Struthio camelus: one gene and its partners. The protein of the gene in region 1 purifies or fractionates together with the protein of each later gene. This does not show direct contact. Links are inferred from orthologs where the notes say so. Each region holds a gene or a part of one and is shown in the gene's direction. Other genes may lie near its edges. The genes, in order: TNS2, UTRN, DMD and DTNB.

Region 1 (7,600 bases):
AACCAAGCTGACGGAGGCTCTGCTGGTATTTTGGAGCGTGGACTCGATACCCTTCCTCCGGCTTGGCGAGGAGCAGCGTGGCAGCAGGTGGAAGTGTCAGTTCCTGAAAGGTATCGGCATCCCCGTGGGCACCTTCTCTTCTCCCTCTTTCTTCCTCCTTGCTTATCCTGGGTATGAGGAGGTAGCACAGTGCTCTGGCATTTCACCTCCCCTCACCCAACATCTGCTTTTCCAGTGTCCCTTTCTTTGGACAAGCAGATGCTGGCAGCCCCTTGGCATAAGCAGTGCTCCCCAAGCCCCGAAATGCTTGTAGCGAAGTAGCCTGGAATTGGCATGATCTCAAAACTTGAAATGTTTTAGCAGAATTTGTCACCTTCACCAGATGTCCGAGCTGACAGCCAGGTCAGTGTCTACACGTGACACAGGGCTTGTGCGGGCCACAGGGGGACGTGGGGTCTAAAACGTAGTTGGCAATGTAGATACCTGCATTGTGATGTGGCCAACGCTCACCTGGCTTCCAGAGCATGTGCTCACGAGGCAACTGTCACCCTTTTTTTGGGGAGAGGGGAGGAGGAGAGACCTGCGTGCTTCCTTGCCTCTCTCCCACCAGAGCCACTGGCAGATCTCTTCCTGGTGTCACCTTCGTGCTGCTGAGAGGCTGCAGTGGCTGCTGATTAGTTATTTCAGTGACTTGGAGTTTTTTAGCTAGTTCAAGAAAACGTGACATCAAGGGGACGGCACGTACTGTAGGCAGGATATAGAGACTGTGCTTCAAATTCTGCCCCAAGAGCAGAGCTGGACTCCCACCGCAGTGTTGCTGTAGGTCTCGGTGCCGCAGGGGCTCTACTCAGAGATACTTAGTGCTAAATCACACCGGGGAGGGAGACAGCAGCCTGCTCCCACCCCTCCGCTGTCAGGACAAGTTCACTCATTGCATTTTACACGTTCTGAAGATAACATGTAAAATTTGTACAAAATATCTTCTATGAAAATGATTTGTAATCTGTAGTGGACTTCCTGGGAGATGTCTTTTATTATGTAAACCCCCCCACCTTGATTTGTTTTTGGGTTTTTTTTGTTTGTTTGTTTCCTCCAATAAAACTAATCTTTAAAATACCCTTTAATGCCCAAATCATTTGCAAGTCTCTTGCTCTGGTGCCGCTTGGCAGCGGGCTGGGCCCAAGCTCTCGACTCGCTCCTCTCCCAGAAGCAGAACCTCAGAGCTTCCTTTTAAGTCCCTTTACCCTGTCCTAAAGGAAGGTTCACTGGGCCCTGCAGGTGGCAGGTCCCTTGTCTCTGCCTGTGTCAGCACTGATTTCTTGCTGCCACCAGAGGGTGGCCTTAATCCAGCCTGGCCTGTCCCTAACCCTCCCTCTGCTCCTTGCAGATCCTGCCAGGATCCGGCCGCAGGCCTCTGCCGGTAGCAGCTCCCGGGCTCTGGTTAAGGAAGGCGACTCCGGCAAACCCACCTGGGCCAGAGAAGGGTCTTGGCAGCCAGGTCTGGCATCACGAGCAGCTTTGGTGCAAGCTAAGTAACATCCTTTTCTCCTCCAGGGCTGGTGGTGCCACCTCAGTCCTGGAAGTAATCCTCAACCGAAGGCCTGGATGCGGGACAGGCTCTGCCCTCCTGCCTCCCAAAAGGGATGTTGATCCAAAACATCCCCAAAGCCTTCTGGCAGCAGGCAGGAGAGAAGCGGAGGAGGAACCCAGCAGCCACTGTGTAAGATGCTCTGTGCAGAGAGCCCCAAATGCCAGCTCTGATCTCCTCTCCGTGGCACCGAGCCCGTCATCCTTCAGCAAGCAGCTCCCTGCAGACCGGTGAGATTCGTTAGCAGCTCCTCTGGGCGCGTTTCTGGTCTGTGCTTGCTCCTGCCAGAAATACCCCTGTAGACCGTGGTGTTTCTTCTGCTCCTCCTGGGCTGGGCGAAGATCACAGGCGTCACTGGTCCTCTCCCCTCCCGGGCGCCTGCATCTGCTCCTCTCCGCCAGCCCTGAGCGGGTTGACTTGTCTCCCAGTCAGCTGCTGCCTCTCGCTGCTGTCTCCTCCTCTCTCCGCTGATACGTTCCCACGCTGAGCCCAAACCGCCCCGTCTCCTTGTGAGCTCCACAACGTCCCTATGACCGGTTGGGACTTTGAGCTCTGGAGTGGCCGTGCTAAGCCAGCGCTTGGGTGCAGAGCACCCAGGGGCTCTAGTGCGCGGGGAGACTTGTCTCGCCTGGTTAACGGGCCTGCTTTTAAGCGAATGCTTAATTAACCCTGCTAGTGTGGTCGGCGCTCGCAGGGAGCAGAGGGAAATGAGCTATTTGATGCGATCCTATTTACGAAGGGTGCTCCGTTTAAACCTGCGGTTTAGCTGGTTCCTGACTGTGCTGGCTGCAACTATATAAAGCCGCTCAGTGTCTAGCGCGGGAGGGAGTCGCTCGCGGCAGTTCCTGCGGCGCGACCGCGGAGCCTCCCCCGTGCAGGCTCCCGCCGCTTGTTTGCGTTTCCGTGCGCTAATCGTGCTCTGAAAGGTCCTTCTGGGTGCTGCCGGGACAGGCCCAGGCTTGGGGGCCTCTGCCGGGCTCCTGTCTGCGCCTTCGCCCTGCGGCTGTTTATCTCGAGGCTGCTTGCGCCGGGCCCCGCATCAGCTCCTACCCCCTTGTGCAAACCTCTCCGCCTCCGCTTGGCTGAGCCGCGATCCCAGCAGCTGATCTCATTCCTGGCTCCCTGCTCAAAAACTTGATGGGATTAAGTACCTGTATCCGGCCTCTGTCTGGGCTTCCTATCTATAAGCTGGAGATGATAAGCCTGGGAAGATGGAGGTGGCTCCAGCTACTCCAGCAGTCGCGCTTTCTTGCTCTTTCTTGCTCAGAGCGCAAAACTGCAGCCGGAGCTGGTGTCGGTGCAGGACCTACCCCAGCCGGGCTCTCTGTGTGCTCCCCGGGCTGGAAACCGTCCCTGGGGCCGCTGCCTCCCTCCTTGCGCTGCTGCCCTTGCAGGAGAACACGGCCCGCCTTGTGGGCTCTGTTTCTTTAAAAAAAAAAAAAAAAAAAACCAAAAAAACACACACACCTTGGGCCCGATTTCAGATCGTGTTTTTGCAGAAGAAACCAACACTATCTGGGCCTTCGCGGCGTGTACAATCGAGGCTCTGTGTTCGCTCCTGGGGCTTGGACGGCTGCTGTGATGTTGGGGCCAAGTCTCATTCCAGCCTGCCCCGTTTGCCGTCGGGCTGGCCGGGGGCGGGAGGGCCCCGAACAGGGCTCTCTCTTCATGGGGTAACTCGTCCCGGCTAGCAAGGTAGCGGAGGTGGGGGGAGCGCCGGCGCGGGCTTTTGGGGCCGGGACGGGGTGCACCCGCTGCCTCTCCCGGCCCTGAGCTTTCCGGCCACGGGGGAAGTTTTGCCCGGTGGCCGTAGCGGAGCAGAGCTCCGGGCTCCGCTCCAAGGAGGCTTTGAGGAGCAGGAGAGGTGAACAGCCTTTGGGTTGAGGGTTTGATGAGTGCAAGAGCCACCGAGGAGGAGGAGGAGGGTGCCGAAGCAGGCAGGGAGCTGCCTGCTTCCCCCCCTCCCCATCTCCCTGGCTTTCCAGCTAGGCTGGAAAGACAGACCCGGAGGGCCAAGTCTAACCGAGGCCGGGGTGCAAAGAGGCGCAGGGACGAGAGGGCGAACGGGCTGGCGGTGGCAGAGCTGCAGAGAAGCAGCTTTTCCCAGGCGCGGGGCGAGAGAGGTGTGTGCATCTCTAAAGGCCTTTTTGGTTGGCGTCGGGTGCCCCTGAGAGGTTTGGGGTCACGCGAGTGCCCAGGCACCGGCTCCTCGGCCGAAGCAGCTCGCGGTTGGAAACCTGGAGCAGGTTCTCTCCAGGTAGGAAACTCGGGCCGCGGCACGCCGGGAGGCGACGACGCTGCTCCGAGCCGCCCAGGAGAGGGGTTTGCTGGCAAACCGTCCGCCCCGCGTCTCCGTCCCGCTGGCCACCTCCTTGGGCTTTGCCAGCTGCTCGGAGATGCTCGAGGACGTCAGGGTGCCGGGGAGCATCCCTGCATCTCAGGCTGTCGCTAGCCCCCCGACGAAGGGGAAACCCCCATCCTGCCTGGTGCATCCTCCAGCATCCTCGTTTTGGGGATGTCTTCGGTCAAGGTGCCCATCGCAGCGGGGTGGGGGGGGGACACCCAGGAGCCACCTGAGCCAGGGGACGGGGACCGGGATGCCCTTACTCGGCCACCCGCAAGCAAGCAGCCCCCCGCGGCGCCGGCAGGGCATCTCCCGCCGCGGAAGCACGGCCGAGCCGAAAAGTGTTTCCGATTATCCCCGCTCGGGCTTCCTCCCTCTCCGAAATCCCGGGCTCCGTTGGCCCGGGCTCTGCCCCCCTCCGCGGTGCGGCCCCTGCCGGCCCCAACACCTGCGCCCCGGGGACCGCGGGGCTGGCACCGCTCCGGGTGCCCTGGCAGAGGAAGAAGAGGAGGAGGAGGCCGCCGGAGGAGGTGGAGTTTTTACCGCGGTTTCCAAGATCCTCGAGAAGAAGGAGGCAAAAAAAAAAAAAAAAAAGCGCTCGGAAGGAGGGAAAAGAAGGGGAAAAAATAATAAACTGCAGGAGGCGGCGGCGGCGGTGGCGGCGGCGGCGGGAGGAACCCATGGGCCGGGGAGGAGGCGCCCGGTGCTGGGCACGGCCCTGCTGCGCTCTGCCCGCCGGGCGCCAGGGCGCGGGGACGCGACGGCCGCCCAAGGTGTGTTACCCCGCGGGGCGAGGAGGACCCGAGGGTGCCGGGGCGGGGGGGGGTGCCCCAGCCGCAGCCCCGGGTGGCAGACGAGGCCCGGAGAGCCGGGCCACCCTGGTTCGGCTGGCTGCAGCCCTGAGGCCAGGGGGATGGTCGCCCTCCTGCCGCCAGCCGGAGGAGGGATGTCAGTGGAGGTGAGGGGAGGGGGAAGAGCCGAGCTCTTCCCCCCCCCCTCCACCTCCCAGCTGTGATTTCGGCAAGGCCGATCTCACGGCGAGAGCCGGAACCAGGAAGAGCCGGCCGGGAGCGAGGCTGGCTGCTGCGCAGCTGGGCCGAGGCCCGGACGCCTGGGTCCTCCCGCTTCCTCCCTCCTCGCTTCCCTGCTCCGTGCCTCGGTTTCCCCGGCTCTGTCTGCTCGCGCTGCCTGGCGAGGGGGTGCCGGGCAGCTCCGCAGCCCCCGGCCCCATGCCCAGGGCCACCTCCTCCCCAGGACATGGTGGGGAAAGGGGAAATTCCCCCAGGAAAGCTGAGAGCGGGTGCAGCTATCGCAGCCCTGCGTCCCAAACCCAGGGCCTCCGTCCCACACCCTGTCCCTGCATCCTAAACCCCATCCCTCCACCCCAGCCCTCCGTCCCATATCCTGTTCCTCCATCCCATACCCCAACTGTCCATCCCAAACCCATCCTTCCACCCCCAACCCCATCCCTCCCTCATACCCTGTCCCTGCATCCCAAACCCCATCCCTCCACCCTATCCCTCCATCCCATGTCCTCTTCCTCCATCCCTAACCATCTCCCTTCATCCCATTCCCCATCCTTCCATCCCAAACCTTCCATCCATCCCATCCTTCTATCCCTAACCCCACCCCTCCATCTCATACCCTCTCCCTACATCCTAAACCTCATGCCTCTACTCCATCCCTCCATCCCATACCCTCTCCCCGCATCCCAAACCCCATCCCTCCATCCCATTCCCTCTCCCCACATCCCAAACCCCATCCCTCCATCCCATTCCCTCTCCCCGCATCCCAAACCCCATCCCTCCATCCCATACCCTCTCCCCGCATCCCAAACCCCATCCCTCCATCCCATTCCCTCTCCCCGCATCCTAAACCCCATCCCTCCACTCCATCCCTCCGTCCTGTACCCCATCCCTCGACCCCGTACCCCATCCCGCACCCCATCCCTCCATCCCTCCCTGGGGCGAGGACTCTGCAGGGCAGCCCCAGGGTCCCAGCTGCCCCCACCAGGAGTCTCAGCCCACCCATCACCCCCTGCCACCCCGAGGCGGGACGCCAGGGGGATGGGCTCCGCACCTGGCCCTCCTCTCCCCCAGGGCCGCCCCGCAGGGCACCTAGCCGCGGCTGCGCCTGGCTCCGGGCCCTTCCCCTGCGGCCACCGGAACCCAGCAGTCACCGTCCCCTTCACGCCGCCTGCCCGCCCGCCGGCCCTTACGGGAAGCCCTTCCCCAGCCGCCTCCTTCCTAGAGTCCAGGCGTCCCCGCACATGCGGCTCGTCCCCCCGCAGAGCCTCTTCCCGCCGGGACACCCCGGCGCGGGGCCCGTCCTCCCGCCACCCGCGCGCCGGGCTGAGCCCCAGCAAACTCAGCCCGCTGGTTCCACGGGGTCCGCTGCCAGCTTTGACGGGCACTTGGCGGGGGAACAGGAGGGTCACAGCTCCGGGCGGCACTGCCCGGCCCCGGCCCGGGCGCAGGCTGCCAGGGACGGCGGAGCTATAGGGCCGGCGCCGTACGGCCAGCCGGGAGCGGGTGCTTACTGGGCCAAGTGGGTGAGAAACAGGGCTGTACAGGCCAATGTGGGTCTGTCACTGTGCTATATGGCCCAGGGCCCTAGGGAGCTATATGGTGCCTATAGAGCCCAGGCTGGATGGTGCAGGGCTGTAGGGAGCCCTATGGCACCTATAGAGCCCAAGCTGGATGACTCAGGGCCGTAGGGAGCCCTATGGCACCTATAGAGCCCAGGCTGGATGACTCAGGGCTGTAGGGTGCCATATGGCACCTATAGAGCCCAGGTTGGATGGCGCAGGGCCGTAGGGTGCCATATGGCACCTATAGAGCCCAGGCTGGATGGCGCAGGGCCGTAGGGTGCCATATGGCACCTATAGAGCCCAGGTTGGATGGCGCAGGGCCGTAGGGTGCCGTATGGCACTTATAGAGCCCAGGCTGGATGGCGCAGGCTGGGGGACCCCGTCCCCCTCGCTGGCGGCAGCCCCTCGCCCCCGTCCGTGCCCCCCCTCCGTTAACCCCGTCCTGCCTGGGGCCGCAGGGGTTAACGGGCCGCCGGTGACCCCCGGGGCGGCGGCAGGAGGGGCCGGGAGCGGGAGGGAGGGAAGGAGGGAGGGAGGGAAGGAGGGAGAAGGGGGGAAGGAGGAGGAGGAGGAGGAAGCAGCGGCAGCCTCGCCGCTCGGCGCCCGGCCCGCCGGGCCGCACCGGGGGGTCCCGCTGCCATGAAGGTATGAGCGGGGGCTCCAGGCCAGACGCCTGGGTCCCTCAGCCCCACCGCTGCCCCCGGCTCCCACGGGTGTTTTTGGTGGGGGGGGGGATTCCGAGCCTGGGGAGTGATGGGGATGGGTGGGGAAACTGAGGCACGGGCGGAGGTGGGGGCGGGGGAGGGGGGGAGCGAAGGCTCCCTGGGCGGCCGGCGGCGAAACGGAGGCAGCGGCGCCATCAGTGTCACGACAGCGCGCGGCCTCAGCCGGCCGCCGAGCGGAGCGGGGCGGCGCGGCCTCACCCCCCCCCCCCCCCCCGCCGTGGCGGCCCCCACCGCGGCCTCGGCGCACGGGAAGCGGCTATTGTGTGTGCGGAAACCGGGGCTGGCCCGGCCGCCCGCCCCCGGGGTCGGCCCGCCCGCCCGGGTGCCGCCGCGCTCCGCTCCCGCTCCCGCTC
Region 2 (7,887 bases), on another chromosome or scaffold:
TACAGCGTTTAGGTGGCAGCGGAGGTGCATGTTTAGGTGGCATACCTGACTGTAGTAGCTTGTACAGGAGTGGCTGTTGAGCGTGTTCTGTGGTAACAGTGTTATTTCTGGAGTCCTGCCAGTAGGTGTTGGAACACCTCCTGTTTCGCTTGCAGCCAGATGAAGTCAGACTTGAAGTCAGATTGAAGTCAGACTGAGAATGGCTCCTCAGTCTGTCCCTCCAGCAACAGAACAATATGCACTATTAAAGTGGCTTAGATATTTGAAATTGTAAACAGCCAGCAAACCAGCAAGAACGGCTGCTCAGATGGCTTACAGACCCATCCCATCCTTCCCTCCGGGAAGTGGGCTTGACAAGGAAAGAGGAAGTGATTACTCCTATTCCTGCACCGTGGAATTTGGGTGCACTGCGACTTAGTGGCCGAGAGCAGGTGCAGGGCTCCCATGGAAATAAAAGTTCATCAGTATTACATCCTAGCATGCAAAACACTAATGTTAGGAAAAAGGTAGGTTAGAGCCATGCATCTGCTGTCTGTTCTCTATCCCGGATTCATCATGACTTAACATATTTCTGGAAGATTTTAATGTGCTCCAGAAGTTTTCTGATTATTTACATTTGAAATATTTCCCCCCCATCCCTGGATATAACAGAATAACTTTGAAAAAGCGTAACTAAAACTGTGGAGACTCTTGAAAGGTGTCATATTTTGTTTTCTATGATTACTGTTGTTATTTCTCTTGCAGATGAGTCAGTTGGTTAGTTGCTGCCGCACAGCCACATAGGTGCTATTTTAATAGAACCAAATCTGTCGAGCACAGTATTACTAAAACTCTTTGCATGCTGAGCCTTTTGTGCAAGCATTAAGATGATATTTGTATGTTATCCATAGAGCTCTAATAGCTGTAATACTTGAAACAATGTGTGTTCTTCTCCCCCCCACTCCACCCCACAGTAGCAAAGGCTTAACTATTACTATACTGTTAATTCACTTTTCAAAAGAATGTTTCATGCTGACACAAACCTGCTGTGTGAAAGAAGGTTTCGAAAGAGATGCTAGAAGTTCTTTGTTATCCATCCAAAGTTGTTGCTGCTCTGGGTTTTCTGGGAGTAGGGGGTTGAATTAATTACCAATTTCCACCAAAATTAGACAGGCACTTGAAACATTACTTTCTGTTTCAGTTCCTGTCGCTGCCTTTTCAGCATCCTTCTCTTTAACATTGTCCTCTAAGCTCTTTTATTTGCTTACTGAAGTTCCAGAATTGTTTGATCTGCTAATTCAAAACGTGTTTGTTGGGCCAGTGAAAAAAATCTTGTCATGTTGTTGTGGTGAAATAAAACCTTGTGAATAAAATTATGGGTTATTAATATCACACAGCATGAGAAATGCTTAACTAGAAGCTCATTATAGCAGTGTTATAAAGTGGAGGCCTAGAGAGGTAGTATAAAAACCTTGCAGAAGAGCATGCTCCTTCTCTAGGAAGGAACAAGTCCTTGGCTTTAGCATGACGAACAGGGGAGGAAGGTTATGGAGGAACTCTACATCTACTTGTTCTTCTCCTATAAGAAATCTTATACATTTTTTTTTGTTTGTTTTCTTCCTCGGTAAAACAAGCCTTTCTTTGCAGACTTGTCTGGATGGGTAGAAGTTCAGAGAAGGGTTAACCCAGGCCTACTTGGAATGAGGCTACAAGAAGGGAGGCGGTGAAAAAGTAGCCAATTTCCTCTTCACTGAGTCAAGGCATTAAAGGGACTTGGAAAGCTCCCAGGACCAGAAAGCAAAGAAGAGATGGAAACCAATCGTATTCAACACTGTATTGTTTACAGAGGATTTTATAATTAAAGGATGTTGCCTTCCACTCCCATTATTGTTTGCAACTGTGAACTTAATTTCGTTTTGGACCTGGTGCTGACTTCGTGTCTGCTGGGACCAGGATAGAGAAGTGATCTTATGTGTTTATGAACTCACCTTCAAATGACCAGATGCAATCGTTTTTCTGTTTTTCCTCTACTTTTTCTCACTTTCCTATTCCCTATTTTATGATCTGAGCTATTGATATATGATGTTTTCATGTATTAAGTTTATAATTCAGGTTCTTCTAGAAGAACTGAGGTGCCATTTAAGCTGCAGTCCTTCTGAAAACTTGAAGTGACTTTTGTTTTGTGTTGGCCCTAGCCTTGTTCTTCTCCATGCTTTGTAGTATGCAGGTGAATATTAAAACATATGATTTCTGCTCACTAGGCTTTTACTCAGCCTTCACTCTACTTTTATTTTTCCACTGTAGTTTCAGCTGGTCTGTTTGGCTGGTCTTTTTATCTTACATGACGGTAAGAAGGCTAGGGCAGGCAGCCAGTTGCTGTTGAGCTATAATAGAGGCAGTGGTATGTACAAAATTTCATTACTGCTGTCAACACCAGAGTGAATAAAAGAAAGCACATACTCTAGACAGAGAGCTGCTAAATAAATCGCCTATTGAATTCAGTAGTGGTAGGAATGAGACCGTCTTCCCCTAATGAATGAAGTGTTTTATGGATGGTATGTTGAACTCTTGCATTTGTTTAAAAAACTGAAAATCCTCTTTTGCCTTCTTCTAGGATTACTTTCCCCATGGCTACCACTTCTCTCTTGCTTATCAGTTCTTGTGGTTAACACATGGGTTTCACATCCAATACATTAGATTATGGCAGAGGCCCAAGCCTCACTATTAAAAAATATTTCTGCCATTCTAAAGCTAACTTCTTTATGGATGAGTTCTGATGTGAAACTAACTTATACCCATAATTCTGCCTCTATCTGAATAAGAAATTTATTTTGTTCAAAAAAAATCTTTCATAAAGCAGTAAATGTTCTCAATGTATATTATTATTAAAGTGTTGGATTTTTGAAGTAAAACTTGGTGTTGGATGAAACCAGTTTCACTAAGATGTGCTATCGAATTACTGCTGGTAAGAAAAACTCAAGAGTTCAGGTTCTGTGAAAGCTCTCTGGTGAATTAACGTTTTCCCCTCATCCCCTCCCTGCCCCCCCATGCCTTAATACTGAAATTCCAGGAGTAATGAAGGCTCAGAGGGGTACTCAGTGTTGCTCTAACTTCTCTTACTGACTGCACCATCCTTTATTAAGGAATGGAAAGGGTGAAAGTGTTGTACCAAAACAATTAATTCCTGAAACTTAAACAACATAACCTTTAGTCTTGGCAAGTATCCGATGAGCAGAGTCTTAATGTGTTTGTGTATGGGGCTTATTGTTCAGTAGGCAAGGGCTATGTGCGGTAGGTGAGATGAAACGTTGGATCAGCGGAAGGGCTGTCTCTTAAGGAACGCAAATCAGTCTCATTAGGACCTGAAGAAAGAGTTTAGGTGCTGTTTATAATGTTTAGCATATGTACCTGACCTCCTGCTAATTTTGATTCTATATTCCCTAGAATTGGCAACATCTTTTTGTTGTGTGCTTGTAAATTGCTTGAACCAACAAGGTTTGGATTTGTATTTGCCATTGCAAAATACATCATTGTTGCTTGTTCATAAATATCTTTATGTGAATCCTGGTTTTAATATTTTATTTCCCTTCCCTATTGCTCGTTTGTTGTACAGGCCACAGAAAAGTTTGGATACAAATGTCTGGTTTAGCCCTGTGTATGTATGGCTGTCTTTATTCATGGAAACAAGACGCTTTTGTGCAAATGTTTCAGGCTTCAACTATGAAGAATTGTTAAAATAGAAAAATCCAAAGTAAGACCAACTAACCGAAAGGGGTTAAAAGAAAAATCTTATCTTGAGCTCTTCCCCCCTCCCCCACCCCCCCCAACCTTGCCCTCAGTGTCTATCTGGTATGTGACACAGTAAACTTTCCCAGCTGAATATGCATAAAGAGATAAAAGCAGAATTTAGAACAGTTGCCTTACAACACAGTGCGCCAACACAGATAAACCAAATAGCATCCCTGTCTTACTGCTTTTGAAAAAATTCTATATGTAACTCTTCTCTGGTTGTAATGCTTGTACTTCCATGTTATTTTTATTCCTGCCTTGCATTACTTTTTTTGTGACTAGTGGAAATCTATACAGTTTAATATCCTAAAATGGATCATTTTGAATCGCATACACTTCACAACTACAGGATTAAAAAAAATCTCAATTTGATTCTAAAGTTGACAACAGGATATTGAAGGGGGAGGGATTGGTTTTGCCTTCTGTCATCATGGTCAAAGAAGTTTAAAGGCCTTCTTCTAAAATAACTGACATACCCTTACATTATGCAGCTTCTGCCTTACTGTACTGTGGCATGTTTTGTTTGCAATTACTGCACAATGGAAATTGCATACCGAATCAGAGTTTGTAACTGTTGCATTGGCATAGAGGTTTATCTGCAGATCTTGCTTTTTGTGCTGAAACCTTGCATTACAATTTCCATGTGCTTTGTTAAAATACCAGTAAAAGATGTGGATACTTACCAGGATTGATGTTCTGTCAAATGCGTAGAAAAAGTGTTGCAGTAATATTATAAGCTTTTTGCAGAGTTACTGTTAAATGCACAGGAAAATTGCTAATGTATTTCCTACTTTCTGTACATAGAAACTTGTGAATGCTTTGAAAGCCTAGAAGCACTCAATTTTCATAAAGATGGAGAAAGCGAAGTGAAATAGTCATCTGTGCATTTTTCTTTCTTTTCTTTTTTTTTTTTTGAAACTGTTAATTAGCCTTAAGTCTATTGTTGTTTATTTACAGTCTTTAACTGTAAAAAGTTTGTTTCCTGACTGGTTTGTCAGTCACTCTATGGCTGAATATGTCAAACTCTCTGAGGAAAACCAATGCTTCCCTCCCCCTCAAATCCCAGCATGCACTTCTTGTGTGGGTATTAGTGTGTACTTCCTCTACATCTTCATTTTCCTGTTTCTGAACAGTAAGCTTGGTCATGAATGTTCAAACAGCCAAAAAAGCTGTATGGAAAAAGCACAAGCTTGCTATGCCTTGGAATACTGTCACACAGACTTGTTATCCTCCACCGGGTGAGTGCATGTTTAAATATGTTTTCAAGGCTATGATGGATAAAGGGATCTAACCATGTGCGTCTGTTTTTGTCTTCTATACCTGATGCAAACTGCTTTTATTAACTTGATTCAAGTTTGCCGAACCTAATAGCAACAGGTTGTCAAAGACGTGGTAAGAAACAGTCCGAAGGAGAGACCGTTTGCAGTCTGTTTTTTGTGGCACTCCTCCATTGCGAGCTCTGTACTAATTGTGGCTGTTTAACATCTACAAGAGGCACTTGGTAGTGCTTTTGTCGTGGGTTTCCTTTTTACATAAAGGGTATTATTTTTTTTCCTCCACAGTGATTCTGCCTACTTCTTCATTTTTTTCTCCCTTTCTAAGAATAGGTTCTTAAACAATGGAAACATGATATGACAGCATTGGAAGCCTTAATGTCCCTACTTCTCTGAAACTGTACATCACGTCAGTGATTTCAATATTTAATTGTATTTATTCTCTGCAGTTCTGCTTACTATACTTCCTGAGACTGTTGGATGTACATACTTATAACAGTTCCAGCCCCCCTTACAGTACAGCATATGATCATGGTGGGATTTTTCTTTTGAGTCAAAACTGGGGAAAGGAGGGGTGTGTGTGTGTGTGTGTGTGTGTGTGTGTATCTGTTCTAAGTTTGGAATGTCCTGGGAGCAATATTTCCTGTAATTTGGAAAGAATTTTTGTGGGGCTTTGAGGAAGAAGAAATTGGGAATGTTTCTCTTTCCTTTTCTTCATTCCGTCCCTTCCTACTCACCCTGGTTGAAATTTCATGGGCTCAATATTCATCTGCTTCATGATGGCCAGGGCCAGATAAGCTAGATTGGCATGATGAACAGGATTTGAAGATTCTGAATACTTGTGAATATGCCTTAGAGACACAGTAATTGACAAATAGGGACTGATTATTTTGTGAATTGGTGTCAGGGCTTCATTGATGCAGAACCTACTGATCAGTAGATTTATTATTATTATTTTTTTTTTTGAAAAAGCTATAGTCTGAGTATAGGTTTATAGAGCAAGACAACAATTCACTTAAGCCTTAGAAGCAGAATTACTAATTTTAAATAGAACAAAATGATGCGCTGAGACTCTAGTCTTACTTATGCTTGCTTCTGGTAACGCTGAGGTGGATTTGGAGATATGCCAGTTTATATAAGATCAGAAACTTTTCCTTTAAGGGCCAATCCAAACGGTTAAAGTTGAGAAAAATGTCAAGAAAACTCATTACCATTAATGGATTTGCTTTTGTCAATGAGTTTGCAGTTTTCACTAAAAGTACAGGTCAGAGAGCCATTTGATGTTGTTCAGAATCTCTAGCATGCGTTCAGCCTGCTGGTGAGATGCAACTTATTTTAGTTGACTCTCTTTTTAGAAGGTTGGAACTAGGAAAATGTCAGTATGCTTTTTTTTGTGTGTTATTTTCTATTTTTGTTTTTAACCTGGGCACATGTTCAGAAGAAACATTTGATCTGTGGTGTATGTTGTTTCTTTTTGAGAACTATTTCTGGGATTTTCTTCTTCTTTTGTAGAAGTTTGTTTTTTAGGGGAACTTAATCTTGGGAGAGGAAAGTAAGTGTTTTAACCAACCATACAATTAATTGATGAACATTAGGGTTGTGAAACCTTTAAAAAGTTTGTCTGTGGAATAACAGGAGGTGTATCCTTCTGAGCCTTTCCTTTTCAGTCCTTCAGGTATTTCTAGTAGGTAAGTGTCAGTGGGTGTACACAGCTAAGGCTGTGATATTTGTTTGTGTGTGGATGATTTATTGTAAGGGTGCCTGTTAAAATTGGGGCCAGGCTAATATATAAATTTTCCTAGGTAAGTTGCAGCTACTTGCTTGTTCAAGTGCTTTATATGCATGTGCAGATAGCACTTAATGGCCAATTCTTAAGTCCTGTTTAATTCTCTCTGAGCTGAGAGCTCTCTGTTTAGAAAAAAAAGATTGCAATATATCAGCCACAATAGAAGTGCTTTTAAGCAAGTGGCAGGGTTTTTCTATGAAATTCCCTGCATTATAATGTTCCTAACTTATCATAAACTGTAGGACTATGATCTGCTTTTTGAGGGCACTCCCATGCTGTGGGAATGACTCTGTTCTTCCAGGCAAAACCTTTCCAGCATAGCAAGCATAGCAGTATTTGACTTGATTTGTGTGTGTGCTTTTCTTTTTTTTGATTTCTTTCTCCCTTAATTGCCTGATTGTTCAGATGGATGTCACCATGTCGCTTGAGGGGATGTTCCTTACCGTGCTTTAAGGGACTAGAAAAAGATGTCAGTTATATGAAACCTTCTGAAAGGGGCTGCCCTTACAGCACTGTTTCTATAAAATGCCAACTCTTGAAGCCAATTAGGCGCTCTACGGTAATCGAATAATCTTTGTTGGCATCTTAGCAGTATACCACTGCTTATTTATTTTGCTAATTTTTCACGTAATTTTCAGCAGAAGCAAAACAAAGCAATTCACATTGTATTGCAAGCAGATTATTGTACAAAATTCCCCTCTCAATTGATTAAAATTATTGCTATTTTTTATAGCAATAGGAAATAATGATAGTGACATGAGGCATTTTGCAAACTAATATTTTAACAACGTCTCTTTTGAATTTGTGCATTTAGCTTGTATTAGCATTTCCTTCTAGCTCAGATAGCCTTGCTTTGGAAATACCAGGAACATTAGACTATAAATTAAAAACTTCCTTTCAGGTGGGAAGTAATTTATCTGTTCCCACAAGATATATGCAGTGAAAGCAGGTTGGAGTTATTTTGTCATGAGGCAAAAAGCTATTATAAAAATAAATATATTGTTTGTGTTCTTGTAAGCAATTGTGAAGCCCTGAGTCGGCTGATTTGCTTAGTAGAGC
Region 3 (7,583 bases), on another chromosome or scaffold:
TAACAAAACTTTGCAAAACTTCTTATGATGTTAAGCGTAACTTGGATCAATCTCAGTCTCGCTTGGAAGGTTGTTTAAGAACACGTTCTTAGACAAGTGTTCTGAGCTTTCAGTTTATAGCAAAACTGGAACTTAGGTGAATTTTCATATATTAGGCATTTAATTAAAACAAAGAATATGACTTCTACCAAATATTCGAATGGAATATGGTGTAGATAAGTGAAAAGTTTGAAAATAGTGTAAGTTTCAGGTCCTCAGATTGCTGTCAGGTGCCTGCTAGCTGACCTCATGCATGCACATCCGGAAAGTCTCTCTCTGGTCAACATAGAGATCCTGCTGAACATAGAGATCAGGCCTGTCAACAGTCCCATTAGAGTCCCAGGGTTTGCAAGACTCTCTGATGAGATGATGGTTGCACAGGGGTTTTAGTTTCTGGAGGCACAACTTTATGTGCATCATTCATTTTCACAATTTTTTATACACTTCTCTACGGCAGTTTTAAAAATCTTGAGCAAAGCCACATGTACTATAATTGTCAGAAGGCATCCTCACTAAACTATTGAGATAGAAATAAAAGTGCTATGGGCTCAAACCTAATGGAAAAGTGATCCTTTATGAACAGCTGACTTTTATCATTATATGTGAGGAATTCTATAATTAATAAATAATGAATATAGAAGGCAAAATTATAAGAATTATAATTAATAAGAATTATTAATAAGAGGAAATAATTAATAATTCCTGCCTGTGTAGTACAAACAAACCTTCCGATGCTCCCTCTGGAAGTGTTTATTAATATAAACATATCTAATACATCATTAAGGTGTTTTCTTGGGTGGCTTATTGAACAAATTAGTTATTTATTACGGGAGGGGTGAAGTAGGTAAGAATACCGGTAAACAGCGAAAAAGCAAAGAGAAATAGATTTGCTACCAGGAGACATATTAGCACAACAAATGAACATTTTTTTGCCAGATAAAATCAGCATTCATTTCATATCAGAGAGTGCATCATGTAGAGCATGTGAGGCTGAATTGAAGGTCAAGGCCAGTCTGCTTGCTTCATTTTTCAGTGAACCATTACCTCCTTGTGCTTAGTTGGAGTCATTAGTACCTCCAAAGAGGAAAACTAAAGAGAGAAATGGCAACAAGAAGAGATTCTACAGGGTATCATAGTTATCACTGTAATGTGCACACACAACCATAATCAAACTCACACACACTGAATAAACCAATTAGTCGCTCTAGTAGCAGTGAAGCAATTAAAATGTATAGACATATCTGCACCATAAGTTGTAGATGGACTAGGAAAAGAGAGGGGCTTTCTTCCTTTTTCACCCCTTTGTCAGCCAAATAGACTGGAATTTCTCAGCCTGCTGAGTTCAATACTGTAAAAAGTAGAATTCTAGTTGGTCACTGTCATTCCACTTGTCATTTATTTCTGCTTTAAAACTGGGGACAGTGCTGTATTAGAGAAAAAAATACGTATTTGTGTACTGAGGAGTCCATGTCGATGGAAAGCTGCAGTCGAGCTTTCTCTCTAAAGCAATTGATTCCATAAGGGTGGGTGACTATAATTGTAACTAGATTCAGCATCTGCATAGATATAATAAGCAGGAACCAAAACTGTTGTTTTCTCAGACAAATGCAGAAAAGCTAGACCAAAGCCAGCTATTAATCCGGCCTATTAGTATGTGGACGGAATGACTGATACTGGTTTCTCCTCCCAAATTCTCCATTTGTCTCTGAACTCTTTTTCTATACAGATCATGTAAAGAGAAGATGCCCATACTGGTATATTACAGTTCCCTTCTCCAAACAAAATTTTTTTTCCTCTTTTTTTTCCAGGGGCAAACCCAGCTCTGATCTGAAGAGGAATGGTCTGTGCAGCTAAACTACAGGATGTTGATTGTACGCTGTGCTGGAGGGCAGTAGTATTAAACAATATACCCTGATGGATCCTCCTTGTAATACCATGCTTATCTCTCTGGAAATGTTTTTCATAATTTCTTTTTTGTCCCCTATTAGCCATGCCCTCCTTTTTGTACTTCCTTCTAAGGGGCTGGTTTCTGTAGTGGGAAAAGATTCTGCTAAAAATCTATATTTATGATGCTGCTATACCAGATACCCCCATTCTCTTACCAGCGTTATCTGGCTTATGTACCTACAAAGTATTTTTCCGAACATGTCCATCTCTAACCTTGCATAGCTCAAAATTCGTTGAAATAGAAATCAAGTCTGCAGTGAGTTTTTACTTGTCTTATCATTGTGAAAAACCTACCGCACAATTACAGGCTATATGAGCTACAAACTCAAACTTTTCTTTTGTGAAATAACATTTAAATTCCTTGCTACTGACTCTGTGGTTTAAAAATCATAATGCAGTGTGAAATATTAAGCATATCCTTTTATATACTTTGAATTTATGGGGACTTCAAAGACAGTCCTCATTTATTGCCTGGTTTGTTTCACTTCAGAAATGACTTGAACTGTGAACAAAAAGGAAGTGACAATATTTTCAGATAGGCACTTTATAGTTGTGCACTTTGCAACTATACGATAGGACTGTCTCTGCTGCCTTGCATGCAGGATTAGCTTGTTGATATGTGCTGCTACAGACAGAGGAACAGATGCAGTAATTCTACTTTATTTACATGAAATCTCTAAAAAGACATTTTCTGGCAGCATGCTAGGAATAAATACGGTATCAAATACAAACTGCACCACGTTATGTGAGCTTATTCAGGTGCCAGCTGTGCCATTTAGATACAGGCTAGAGCAGGCAGTCGAACCCTAACAGCAGAGCTGGGAGGTCTCCCGCGCTCGGCACCCACCGGTGCCAGCTCATTCCCAGCGCTGCCTGTGGGGTCGGGGTTTGCACCCTGCTGCTGCCCCGTGCCTGTGGCCAGCGGCATGTCCAGGCTTTGCTGCTAACCTCGGGGATCAGCTCTGCAAGCAGCGCAGAGGGATGTGCCCTGCGCCGCCCTTGGGGAGAGCGCTGTTGAGGGAGGCTGAGAGGTAGCTATGAGACTTCCTGAATTGTTTTTAAAAGTAGTGAGAGATTCTCTTGCCTTGGGGTTGTGGGTCCCCCCCCCCCAGACTTTCTCTGATATATAGCTCTCCTAAGCTCATGTTTTCTAGCTTTTTTTCATAGCCTTTGGGTACTTAACTGAGAATAGGAAATTGTGGGGAGGAAGGGAGCAAAGCGGTAGGGTTGGAGGGGAAAGCATGGAGAAGCTAAACACATCTATTGGAGAGAGGATTTTTTGTTTTGTTTTGTTTTTAAGAAAAAATGAATCTTTTGCGCTAGGAATGCGAGAACTGGTCCAGAGCTGGATGACGCAGCGAGGTAAAGCTCCTTGTGAGGGACTGTGCCCTTTCCCCTTCGTCACTCCTTCTTTTGTCATTGTGTAAAGGCTGGGGAGGTGAGACTCTGGTGTTAGTCCTCCTCCTCCCTCCCTACTTCGCTTAAGTAATGTATTGTGGCCAATCAGTTGCAGTTTTAAAAAGCCTTTTTTTTTTCCTGGCTTAAGCATTCAAACTTTTCAGTGTAGTGTTGGGGATGTTTATTCAATCTCTGTGCAAGCAGATGCATTAAAGATGAACTGCCGTGACTCTGAATTTCAGGCAGAAGCGGTGGGAGGAGACCCAGCTAATTTAACTTGGTGGATGATTGATGTCTCTTTGTCAATTTGTATTAACACTCATTTGAAATCCCTGACGCAAGCCTGCTTCCCCCCTCCCCCCCACCCCGACAGGAAATATAAATAGAAAGACAACAGAACAGTCCTACCCCTTTAATTCCCAGTACTCAGAAGCAGTTAAGTGAACTCTGTCATTATGGAGTGTCCTCCACAGCCTGGCGAAAAACAGCTTCTGGCAGTGTTCTTGCCACTTTAAGAATATCAAGATGCTGTAACAGAGCTATCCACTTACTGCTAGAATGTATAAAACACAAAAAAGGGAAAGTCACCTACAGGTAGATCTAGATATATTGCTTAAAAATCTCCTGTTTCTTCATTAGACAGCCATTCACTGCAATGAAAGAGAGCTAAATATAATTTGTCGAGGTGTAGCTCTGAAAGCCACGTTTAAAATGAAACAGTTGAGAGCCTGAATGCACAGTACTGTTATTCAGAAGTAGCTTTAGAGCAGAGAGTTTCAATGGGAAGGTGCTGTTTAGTTGGACACAAATCAGCAAGCATTTAACTGAAGTGTGAATAAACCAAGTGTGCATGAGGCGCAGTGCTTTCTGCAAAGACGAAATGCAAAAATATTAAAAAAAAATCTTTAAACACTTGCATCAGCCTTAGAGGACGGTGTGAGCAGCAGGATGCGAAACCGATTTGCAGATGCACTCTCTTCAGGCAGCGAGAGTGCTCATTAAATGCAAGATGCTTCTGGGGCTCGCGCGTGCACACGGAGGTATAGGTTTGCAAGACTGACGTATCAGATAAAGTCAGAGTGGTTACCACACCGACGGAGTAGCAGCTGCATAATAAATGATGGAGAGAATCATGTTAGGCATGCCCACCTAACCGAACTTGAATCATGCGAAAGGGGAGCTGCTGGAATTCAAATAGACTTTCTGGTTCCCAGCAGTCGGCAGTAATAGAATGCTTTCAGGAAGATGACAGATGCAGGGAGAAGATGCTGTTTTGCACTATCTTGATTTGTTACGGCAGCCAACTTATTGGCATGATGGAGTGACAAGAAAAGCAGCTGGCATGGAAGGTAGGCTTATCAAAGCTATTGCATCATTATGAATGTAATTAGAAAGTGACCATGACAAAGCATATGTTAGAATGAGCTGCGGCTGACGGCAGAGGATTTGTTGCTGAGGTCTTGAAACTCTGGAAACAATGTTCCTTTTGCAAAATGGATTTTGTAATTTCATTTCTGCTTGTGTTACTTTTTTCTTATGCTCGCCTCTAAGCTCAGGGAATCCCTTGCCTGAAAGAGAGCGTTATGTTAGGATGAGGTTGAAGACTAAAGTCTTTTCTAAGTCTGTGAAGCCTCAGGTAGATAGAAACAAACAGATGTGAAACAACACTGGCAAAGGCTCCATATGATTTACCAGCCAGCTCTGATTGATGTATTGGCATATTGAGGAATCCCACGGAAATGAAGATGCATGTATTAAATGTGTTGATGTAATGAAAAGATACTACTGCAGGTTTCTGCTTTATAGTTACTCTGACAGGTTTTATTCCCCATCAGTTTTTAGCTCTTGACATTTATTCGGTTGTTCAGTATTATATAAAGAAAATACATCAATATCTCCTGCAGGGTTTTTCAACAACTCTGGCATCTGTTTCAGCTATTGAACTGTATTCACGTTTTGCCAACTTGATGTCTACCCAGCTGGTCTATCATTTCTCGCTTGATTACTGCTCTTAATTTCTCTGTATCAGCTTGTTTCAGATAGGATTTTGAAAGCTGTTAATGAGAAATGACGGCAACTGCTAAATTATTGAGAATTGGCATATTGTCTTATTTTTGAAACATCAGAGAGCAGTTTTGCATGTATTTTATTAAATTCATATTCCATGTTGCAGTAATGTTTTCATATAACCACTACATTTTAGCCGTGAATACTTTAAACCAGATGAGTCATAAGTATAACTTTAGACTGCCTGTTTTAAGAAAGTTTGAGATCATTTAGAGGTGCTTACTTTGGTCTAGGTATCATCTATATATATGTTCCTTCATTCTGTCTGTCTCCCCCCACCAGCCCCCCAACATATATACTCCCTCTCTGTCGTGGTGAGCAATCCTCAAGTGTATACTGTACATATTGAAATATATTTTATCACCACTAGGGTGAAACTGCTAAGCAGTTCTGAACAGGTGATTTGAACAGGTTTAAAACAGATGTCAGCTGTGTCAAAGTGGATTGTTCTGGGTCTGAAAAGGAAAAGTGCTGTTTTGTGAGAGTAAGGCAGAGGCTTATTTTGCTTCACCTTTGGAGGTACAACAACCATTCAAACACTGCTTGATAGCCCCCAGGAAACAATCATTGGATTGGATTATTTTGTAATACAATGTGCTTTCTGTAGACGCTCTTCATGCTTAGGTATATCTTTTTTTTTTTTTTTTCCAAAATGATATTCAAAAAATCTCCTATCACACTGGATGTTCACTTTCTAACTTTGTTTTAAATTACTTTGCTGGCTGTAAGCTAGGTAGTCTTGCCAGAAGAGAATCGGGCTATTAAAGGCTAAGTGTTGCTGACTAGATCTATAACAGTTTTTAAAAAGATAGGTGTTTCTAGATACACAGCAGTGAACCAGCCTTTAAAAAGTTTGAAAATAAAGATCAGTAAAACTATACTCTTAGGCAATTTGAGCATTTTTGTGCTTTGATCACCTCTGGGAGGCATTTTAAATTATTTTATAACTGCTAGGAGGGAAGAAGTGCTTATTAATGGACAAAATCACTATCAGGTTTGTATAGTCACCAGTAGTTCTATGATTTTGATGATAAAAACTATTGTTATGCTATTTCAGAGAAGTTCTGTTAGGTTCAAAGGTAATTTGTCCTTCTTGTTGATTATAAAACCATAGAGAGAATAACCCATATAAGCAGCTTAAGTGTCATTTACCTTTTCAGGGTAGCAGTAAAACCATTTTATATTGCATGAGGTATACTTCTGAAGCTGTTGGTTGTTCTTTGTCACAAGACTGCTGGCTGGCTATCATCAGACGGTAGTTATTTTAAATATTATTTTGCTTGTGATGACAGTATCATAATTGCATGCCATCTGTGGCCACCATCCAGCTGAAAAGTGATTTTATAGTTTGCTTCTCTTTTGTCAATAGTAGTTAGTTTTAGCTTTTTGTTTCGCTGATGAATTAAGAAGACACTAGGTGGAGCTAGCTATTGATTCTAAAGAGAGATACAGTAATACAGGCCTGTCTAATGAGCAAGCCCGTGTATGTAGTGATTATTATAAAATATAACAATAAAAAATAGGTAAAGCTTGGAGCTGGACCTTAGTCATGAAATTGGAGACCTGATGGCGTTAAAGGAAACGACTTCACCATTTTTCTTTCTTTTTATTATTTTATATCAGAGATGATAATAATAATAAAGCATCTATATTCAACAAAGAAGGCTGGGAAGCAAAAGAAAGGAAATAAAGGATGAAAAGAGGAGAAAAGCAACAATAGGAGCCAACAGATGCTTTCATTGCAGATACCTGCAGAAATCCAATCGTGTATCTGTCTTATTTTAGTCTGTTGCATGTAAATTTTTCTCTCTTCTTTACATATAAATCCCTCTTTCCTGTCTTCCTGATTTAATTTATATAGCTGACATCTGTCACTTTATAGTTAGCTATGGGACCAATGTTTTGAAATCATTTCTTGCAAGGGTGATCTAAAAGGTGTGCAGGGGCACAGGAAGTTGTCACTCACATGTTGGTTAGCCTTAATTAGGAAATATGTAAAAAGTTATTTATTGATAGAGGTGGAAGCTGATTATTTGCACTCCTAAATATTATTTTAGTTATTAAACCTTCAGTATAGGATAAGGATTCTGTAATCTTAGGTAGTGTAATCTTACTTTCATGTCCGTTTCCTG
Region 4 (7,155 bases), on another chromosome or scaffold:
CAGATAGCTGTGCTATTAGAAGCCGCATATTATTACCATACGTTGTGGTAGTATGCAGAAGTAATGTTTTAAAAGTATTATTCTTAATCCTTTCTTTTGTTTCAGTTTGTTCCAAACAGTTATGGGTACAGAGTTTGAAATTTTAGTTAAACTAGAAGAATTATCAGAAATTCTAGTATACTTAAAGAGATGTTGTTGGTCTAGTTGCATCTTTTATAAGTGTGAAGGCTTCTCCACTATCATCTTTCTAAGTTTTGGTCTAAATGTGTTAGCTATTCCCTGATATAACCTCTAGACCTCTTTTTCTTTTCCCTGTGAGAGGCGTAGGGGAATGAAGGATTACTTTTACTCAATTAGATATATTAATGTTTGCTGAGGAAGGGGAGATGGGAATTTGAACAAAGTGAAGATGAAGAATGAAGAAATCGGAGGAAAAAAAAAAGACAGCATCAGATAATTGGGGTGAGCAAAGAAGGAAGTGAGGGAATAAAGTGAATCTTTATGACTTTGTTCAAATTTATAGTAAAGGAAGAGTTAAAAAATACTTCAGCATTTTTATTCACCCTAGACCCACTTTATTTAAAAAACAGGCCCCTTTATGTCATAAATTACTTAATTTGTAAACTTTAGAACTAGAACATTTATGATAAGATGGAAACTATTTAAAATGATTTAAATTAAATGGAAATTCAAGCCATACATGTTTAGAAGCCCAGAACAAATAACTACAAGTGCTAAACCAGCTGTGATAGCAGAACCTTTTCCGCAAGTACAGTTATGCTGTAAATATGCTGTAAATTTTTGTTCAATATCCTCAGCTCAATGGCAGGTTCATTCAAATCTTAAAAACTGAATGAACTGACAAGGGATGAAAGCTTCATTTCTTTAAACAGCCTGTGGACGTGAGATCCTTCTAATTTGAAGGTTGACAGGAAATTATTAAGCTTCCCTAACTGTAACTAGTATGTTTAAGAGCAAGATGTGCCCCAAACTAGTGTTCTAAATTTTCACTGAATTACAAGTTATTTCTGAATATAAATAAGTATAAGTAGAATTTTCCCTAACACAGCAAGTGCAGTCATATTAAGAGATGCCAAATACTTCCTCGAGTACAATGTAACATCAAGAATCTGAACAAACTCAAACTTAATAATTCATAAATAAGCATGTATTTCTGTGTTCTCCTATTTAGCTGATGAGGCAGCAGTGTCTAAATTACAATAATCAAAAGTCAAGTGAGCAAACACCTGAAACTGCAGATAAGAAACTAGAATGGGAGAGTAAATTTTGTAGTTCATAAAGTAGTAGGAAGTCAATATGATAGTAGTTAGGGAAGAAGAGAAAGCATGGCTTTTGAGATGGTGGCTATCATTAGTGCAAGAACAAAGGCTACATTGGCTGACAATAGTTAAATACGCTTTCTCCCTCCCGTTAATCTGGAGAGGAAAATCTGCTTACTTAGGCCGTTACCTACAGCTGATGAGCTCCAAGAAGAGCGAAACCTTTTAAAATAGGTCCTGTAGTATTGGCCTAACAATCTTCTAAGAGTGACTTGCTTACTTCATTTTTGTGCTTAAGTTTTAAGTGTAGTCAAAAACCACAGAAATAAGTAGTCCAGAGTCATCAGCAGCTAAAGCTGTGAAAGCAAGTAAAGGGGAAGTCTTCAGATTTTATTTTTTTTTATGTATTGTTTTTTCTGTTCAGCCCGGTATAAGCATAGGAAACATATGGCATGCATGTATTGGGGGGGGGGAGTTTTTTTGAAGAGAAAGAGAAAGGAGAAGAGTAGAACAGAAGAATGGAATATGAATAGGAAAAGAAGAAAGAGGAGTAAAGCTGAAATATGTTAATATTTGTGGTGCTATTTAAGGTATTTCAGATAGTGAAAGTGACTGTGTAGAAGTATCCTCCTTTACTGGAATGACATTTGTAAATTAAGGTTTCATATGAATTCTGTCATATGGATTACTCGATGAAGCAATGAAATAGTAATATGGTAGCTAATGAAAGAGGGAGAAGTTGGATGCATGAGGAAAGATTGTAAACTCTTTGAAGGTTTGCACTAAACATACTCAACTGTAGTTTTGGAAGGTGTTCGATCTTACAATTTTTTTGTGTTTCAAGGTGAAAAATGATAACATTTAAAGATTTTTTTTTCCCCCATACGGTTATCAAATAAGAATCACATTGTGTTTGGAGTTTTTTTGTTTTGTTTTTTAATGACTATTTTACCACAGGATAGATAATTCCCCTTTAAGTCTCAACATTATGAATTAAAATAATAGGCATCTTGAACTAAAATTTACCATGGGCCTTGGGGACTACCTTACCTTATTGCATTAAAAAATACATTTGTCTGTGTGTATGTATAATGTATTTGTGTATACACACAAATATACATATATATTCTATCATACTTTTATATATATATGACTGTTATCTTGTCACAGTGTGTTGGTAATTTTCAAGAGCCTCATAATGTCTATCTGAAAACTGAATACAGAGAAAAGTTAGCTGAACACATACGTTATGACAGAACTAATTGAAACTGGAGCAGGTTTTAGCTTACTTTCAATATCACTGAAGATAAATCAGGAAATGCGGTCTTATTACATCCGCTCAGTTTTAGGTGCTGGCTTCATCAGTGAGTTCAACTCTGATGCTTTTGCTTCTCATTTGAACTTGAACGTACTTCACTGTGAAGCCTTCTGGGCTATAGACAGTATCAGTAACTGTACTGACATTTCTTACAGATAAAAGATAAGCTCCTCCAATAATGGGTTCATCTTACTGATTTCAGATTTGCTTCTTTGCCTTCAACAAAATTACTGCCTCCTGACATAAAGCAAAACTGTATTTTATGGATCTAGCATGGTTCTCACTGTTAATTCAAGAACTGTTCTGTCACTGCAGTGAGAAGTTTTCTATGTTTCACTGCGTCAGACTTGAGCAGACCACCTGTGCACTCTTTAAGAGTTTTCTGTGCTTCTGGCTTAGGTGGTGAATGTAAGCTGAGCCCATGCTATCAGTGCAAGAGCTGATATGAAGACCAAAACCCGTGGAATATATTTTTACTTCCAGCTCTCCATGCTTACCAGAATCCTTGAAACTTTGGGAGACTTCTAGCTAGAAGAATTTTACTCAGGTGCAGAAACTCAACTGCGTTGGTTTTAACAACCTTTAAGGAAAAAATTGCATTAGGTTGAACCTACTCTTAGTCCTCATCCTCAAGTGAATCAAGAGCATTCATAATGTAAATGACCTCTCCAGATTATTAAATATTAGAAAAGGCTTTTTGAGGAAGAAATATCCGTGGAAATCAACCAGAACAGACCATATAAACTCACTTTCTCATCACTATGAATAGAAGCTAGTTGATGGTACTGCTTTTCTATTTAAAGTACAAATCAAACGTTTTGCTGGAAAAACAAAAACGGATGTTCATCACGAAACACCCTTGTGTGTGAAATTTGCATCTTTATCAGATTTCAGGTTTTCCCCTTCCTTTAAAAGATTAGTGGCAATCTCGATGTTTTATGTTCAGGCATGTTTCTCTAAGCACTTGAGATTTGAGCCTTGGGTTGAACTGAGTGGTGTAAAAGCTAAAGAAATGAAATCCCAGTATTACCATTTAATTATTTATATTTGCACCAATTCTATATGTTTAAAAAACCTGCTACTCTCACTTGAAGCACTGTGTAGATCTCTGAATTTGTTTAGTTTCAGTTCCAAGTACAGTGTTTAGTTCGAGCATGACTTTTGTGTCGTCTTAGTAGGTTTGTTTAGCTCTCAGAATACAGATTTTTATTTCAGAAAATTCTGTGGCAGGAGAAGGGGACTGGTAAAATTGCCTCAGTAATGTAGAGGTCAGAAAAACATTAAGAGCAAGATTACGTTCTTTTGCAGAAGACAACTTTAACTAATGAGTTAGAGATCAATTCCTTCTAGTCTCAGCGTTCTTAGGTTAACTCCATTCCATCACTGTACTAAACAGCAATATAGTCTTAAATGATAAATGAACAGAGGGTGAATAGTGAGACATCTGCTGAAAGAAACCATCATTAAAAATGCAAGCCAACCGTTAAGAATGTTAGAAGGACTCAATTAGTAATTGAATTTCATCTGCTACTTTATTGCCAGTGTAGATGCATGTAAAGTTATGCAAATGGAGGTGAGGGAACGGAGAGGAGAAACAGGCAATCCTAACTTTACATATCTACTGTTGTTCTCTGAGCTATCTGTTGCCCCTCAGGAATACTATCCTGATGCTCTGGTACCGTCCTGTGAAAACATCAGCAAGTGCTCAGTTGTAGTCAAAAAAAGGTAATAGAATATTAAGAATTATTAAGAAATATTAAAAAAAGAATAAAACAATATTACTGCTACTTTGTAAAGCAGTGGTATGCCTCTTATGTCAAATATAGTGTACAGTTCTGTTTCTCCTTCATCTCTGAAAGCAGATAACAGAACTAGAAAACATATGGAGGAAGGTGATAAGGATAATCAAAAGTAGGAGGGCAGTTTTTGTACGAAAAACTGTTATATCGTCTCCCGATTCTTCAGCCTGGAAAGGAGATGACTGAGTATTGTTCATGTCTCTTCCAGCCCAGAAGTGGGTGGAGGCAGGAGCCAGCATGAAATGGAACTAGGCAGTAATGAGTCCAAAACAATCGGAAGGATATGGTGAGGAACCGTACTTCTGGTGCAATCTACTGTGGTCTCTCTTATGTTCATATTAAAAAAATTACAAGTTTCCAAGAGTGCAAAATGGAATTTTACAGATTTCTGAGCCGTGCAGAAGAACCACACAGAAAGCAGGACTGAGTACTGCATTTTTTGCTGTTATTCTGAAAAATTTGGCTTTAAGAGTATTTAGAGCATAACCTCTCTCAACCTCATTAGAGGTTGACCAATTCATTAGAATTATTTTTAGAATTTGGCTCTGCTGGCTGGTGAGGCTTCTTCTTGATGTGTGGGCCCTTGTGGGAACCTGGCTTTTCTGTGTAGTTATTCTAGAATTCAGTGTTGCTTTAGTATTGGAGAAGGAAGGAAGCAGATTCTTTGATTAAACATTATTAATCCAAAATGTGACTATCTTAATGTGTATATTCTTCTTGATGAATTTTACCTTTGAAGCCCTTGAAGGGAAGGTGGCAGAAAGAGTAAGGAAAGAAGTAGGAAGTTGCCAGGTCTACCATATAGAAAGTAGTTGTGCTGTCAAGGTTTGTCAAGGCTCGGGAATGGATGAAAATCGGGCATTTTCTTACTCTGGTCAGGATCCCAGAAAACTAGCTGGCACATTTGGGTTTGGTGTATACAATTTAAAGCTATGTTTAAAGGAGTGTTAAGGTTAAAGGTCAAACACCTTAGGATTTTAATGCTTCCTTTTCAGTCCTGACCATTTATTTCCCTTTACTCACACGCACTGAGATGCAGTGTTTATCATTGTTTTTATAAAAATCTGAGCTAATAGTTAAGGTAATTTTCATGTTAAAACTCCTTCCTAATTTCATCTTCTGAATCCGTATTGCTTTCTGCATGGGTCATCATCTGTAAAGTTCTAATGTTTATATCTGTTTGCACCTCCATGTTGCACTGGAGCTAATGGAGTGACTGCTGTCATTTCTCTGGATGAACAGCTAAAGGGAAATGAAATGCATTTTGTTTTTATATTCCATTGGTATAGGAAAATTTAAATTCTGAGTTACTGTATTTTGGAAAAGCTGTATTTTCTGCTATTTGTAGAACCTTTAATCCTTACCTCTCATCTTTCAGTTTGTCCAAGTCAAATACTAATTCATGTGCTTTGCCTTGCTACTCATTACCATTCCAGTCATTCCTGTGCAAAGTTGTAATCCGGTGTGTTAGTCTTCACTTCTGTCTCACCTCCTTGTTCAGTCTGTTGTGTTTTCCTGTCCTAGGCTTTTCCTAGTTATGTGCACCAGAATTGCTTTAGTCACCTCTTGGTTTGCCCTTTCCTTGGCTCATTCCTTATCTTTTCAGCTTTCCTGGCATGCATGTTTTGATTTGGACTCACTGGAGCATAAAGCGCTTTCAGTAGAAGGAATGACGAAATGAACTGGGATCCCTCAGCATGGAAGAGAGGGCTGGGGAAAAGATATGCTGGAGATCTATAAAGTCATAAATGTCATGGAGAGGATGGATAGTGGTGGTTCTCCCACCCCCATCCCATTTTTCCTTCCCATAGAAGAACTGTGTGACTTCAAAATCTGATGGGAGAAGGCAGGTTCAAAAGAATGCAAGAAGGTGATTTGTTGAACTGTGGGTTTTATGCTCTGGAATTTCTTGCTGCTAAGTGCTGTGGACATTAAAAGTTTACAAGTTGTGAAGGACAGGCAGATAGGCTCATGGAGGAGAAAGCTGTGGATGGTTACTAACTCCAGAGGATCAATTTGACTCTGGAAGTCTTGGCGTTGCGAACTTTTGGACCTTGAAAGTGTATTCTCAGGAAACTTTAACTGTGTGCTTGTTCCAGTCTTGCATTCTTCCCTCGACATCTACTTTGGGCTGCTTTTGGAGACATGATACTGCTTTGGCAAGATGGATATGGCGCAGTGTTATTTTCTTATTAGAACTTTGCAACAAAATGATTAAGATTTTTAAGCATCATCAAGCATATTTATTTTTCTAAACCGCCTTAATCATTTTATCTCAGTTCTTCTTTATAACTGAAGTCCAACAAGCTCCTTCTGGCTTACTGTTAGGGAAACCCTCAGGTCCAAACCTGAAGTTTTGTGAATATATAAGGTCTTTCTTCTGTTGACAGTGTAAAGGATTGACAGTTTTAGATCTGTGTTGCTACTGCCCTTTTTATAGCAATAAAAACCATAGGGCATGGACTTGCGACTTCTTTTGCATAGGGTGGTCATATAGCATGTGTTATATAGTTAGCATACAGTAGCATAGGCTAAAGAGTATAAAAATGTAGTACAGTTCTGTAAGATTCACATTGGTCTATGTGTATTGCTAATTCTAAGCACTGCTGATCTATTGATGTTTTGAAGAATGATAAAGTAGATATCAAGTCTGTAGAAGCAACTAGCCACCAATATGAAGGATAAAATTAGGTAGAAAAAACTTGTATCTGCTTAAACATGTAGTGTGTTACTGGAGAATCACCATTTAAATGACATT

What was found.
Region 2: the proteins of TNS2 (region 1) and UTRN purify together in Homo sapiens (affinity purification with mass spectrometry; 4 studies listed by BioGRID and IntAct, with this or other methods). This does not show direct contact. The link is inferred for Struthio camelus from reciprocal best matches to the Homo sapiens genes TNS2 and UTRN.
Region 3: the proteins of TNS2 (region 1) and DMD purify together in Homo sapiens (affinity purification with mass spectrometry; 3 studies listed by BioGRID and IntAct, with this or other methods). This does not show direct contact. The link is inferred for Struthio camelus from reciprocal best matches to the Homo sapiens genes TNS2 and DMD.
Region 4: the proteins of TNS2 (region 1) and DTNB purify together in Homo sapiens (affinity purification with mass spectrometry; 3 studies listed by BioGRID and IntAct, with this or other methods). This does not show direct contact. The link is inferred for Struthio camelus from reciprocal best matches to the Homo sapiens genes TNS2 and DTNB.

The regions. Positions count from the first base shown.
Region 1 is NC_090969.1:1,672,022-1,679,621, reverse strand, and holds the start of TNS2 (tensin-2), read left to right. Parts: upstream 1-4,588; 5' UTR 4,589-4,612; coding exon 4,613-4,705; intron 4,706-7,061; exon of another isoform or gene 7,062-7,161; coding exon of another isoform or gene 7,162-7,167; intron 7,168-7,600. UniProt on the Homo sapiens protein: Tyrosine-protein phosphatase which regulates cell motility, proliferation and muscle-response to insulin. Phosphatase activity is mediated by binding to phosphatidylinositol-3,4,5-triphosphate (PtdIns(3,4,5)P3) via the SH2 domain.
Region 2 is NC_090944.1:84,645,730-84,653,616, reverse strand, and holds the start of UTRN (utrophin), read left to right. Parts: upstream 1-4,870; 5' UTR 4,871-4,912; coding exon 4,913-5,006; intron 5,007-7,887.
Region 3 is NC_090942.1:130,523,268-130,530,850, forward strand, and holds the start of DMD (dystrophin), read left to right. Parts: upstream 1-4,576; 5' UTR 4,577-4,636; coding exon 4,637-4,733; intron 4,734-7,583. UniProt on the Homo sapiens protein: Anchors the extracellular matrix to the cytoskeleton via F-actin. Ligand for dystroglycan.
Region 4 is NC_090944.1:1,498,311-1,505,465, reverse strand, and holds the start of DTNB (dystrobrevin beta), read left to right. Parts: upstream 1-4,150; 5' UTR 4,151-4,159; coding exon 4,160-4,323; intron 4,324-4,605; exon of another isoform or gene 4,606-4,683; intron 4,684-7,155.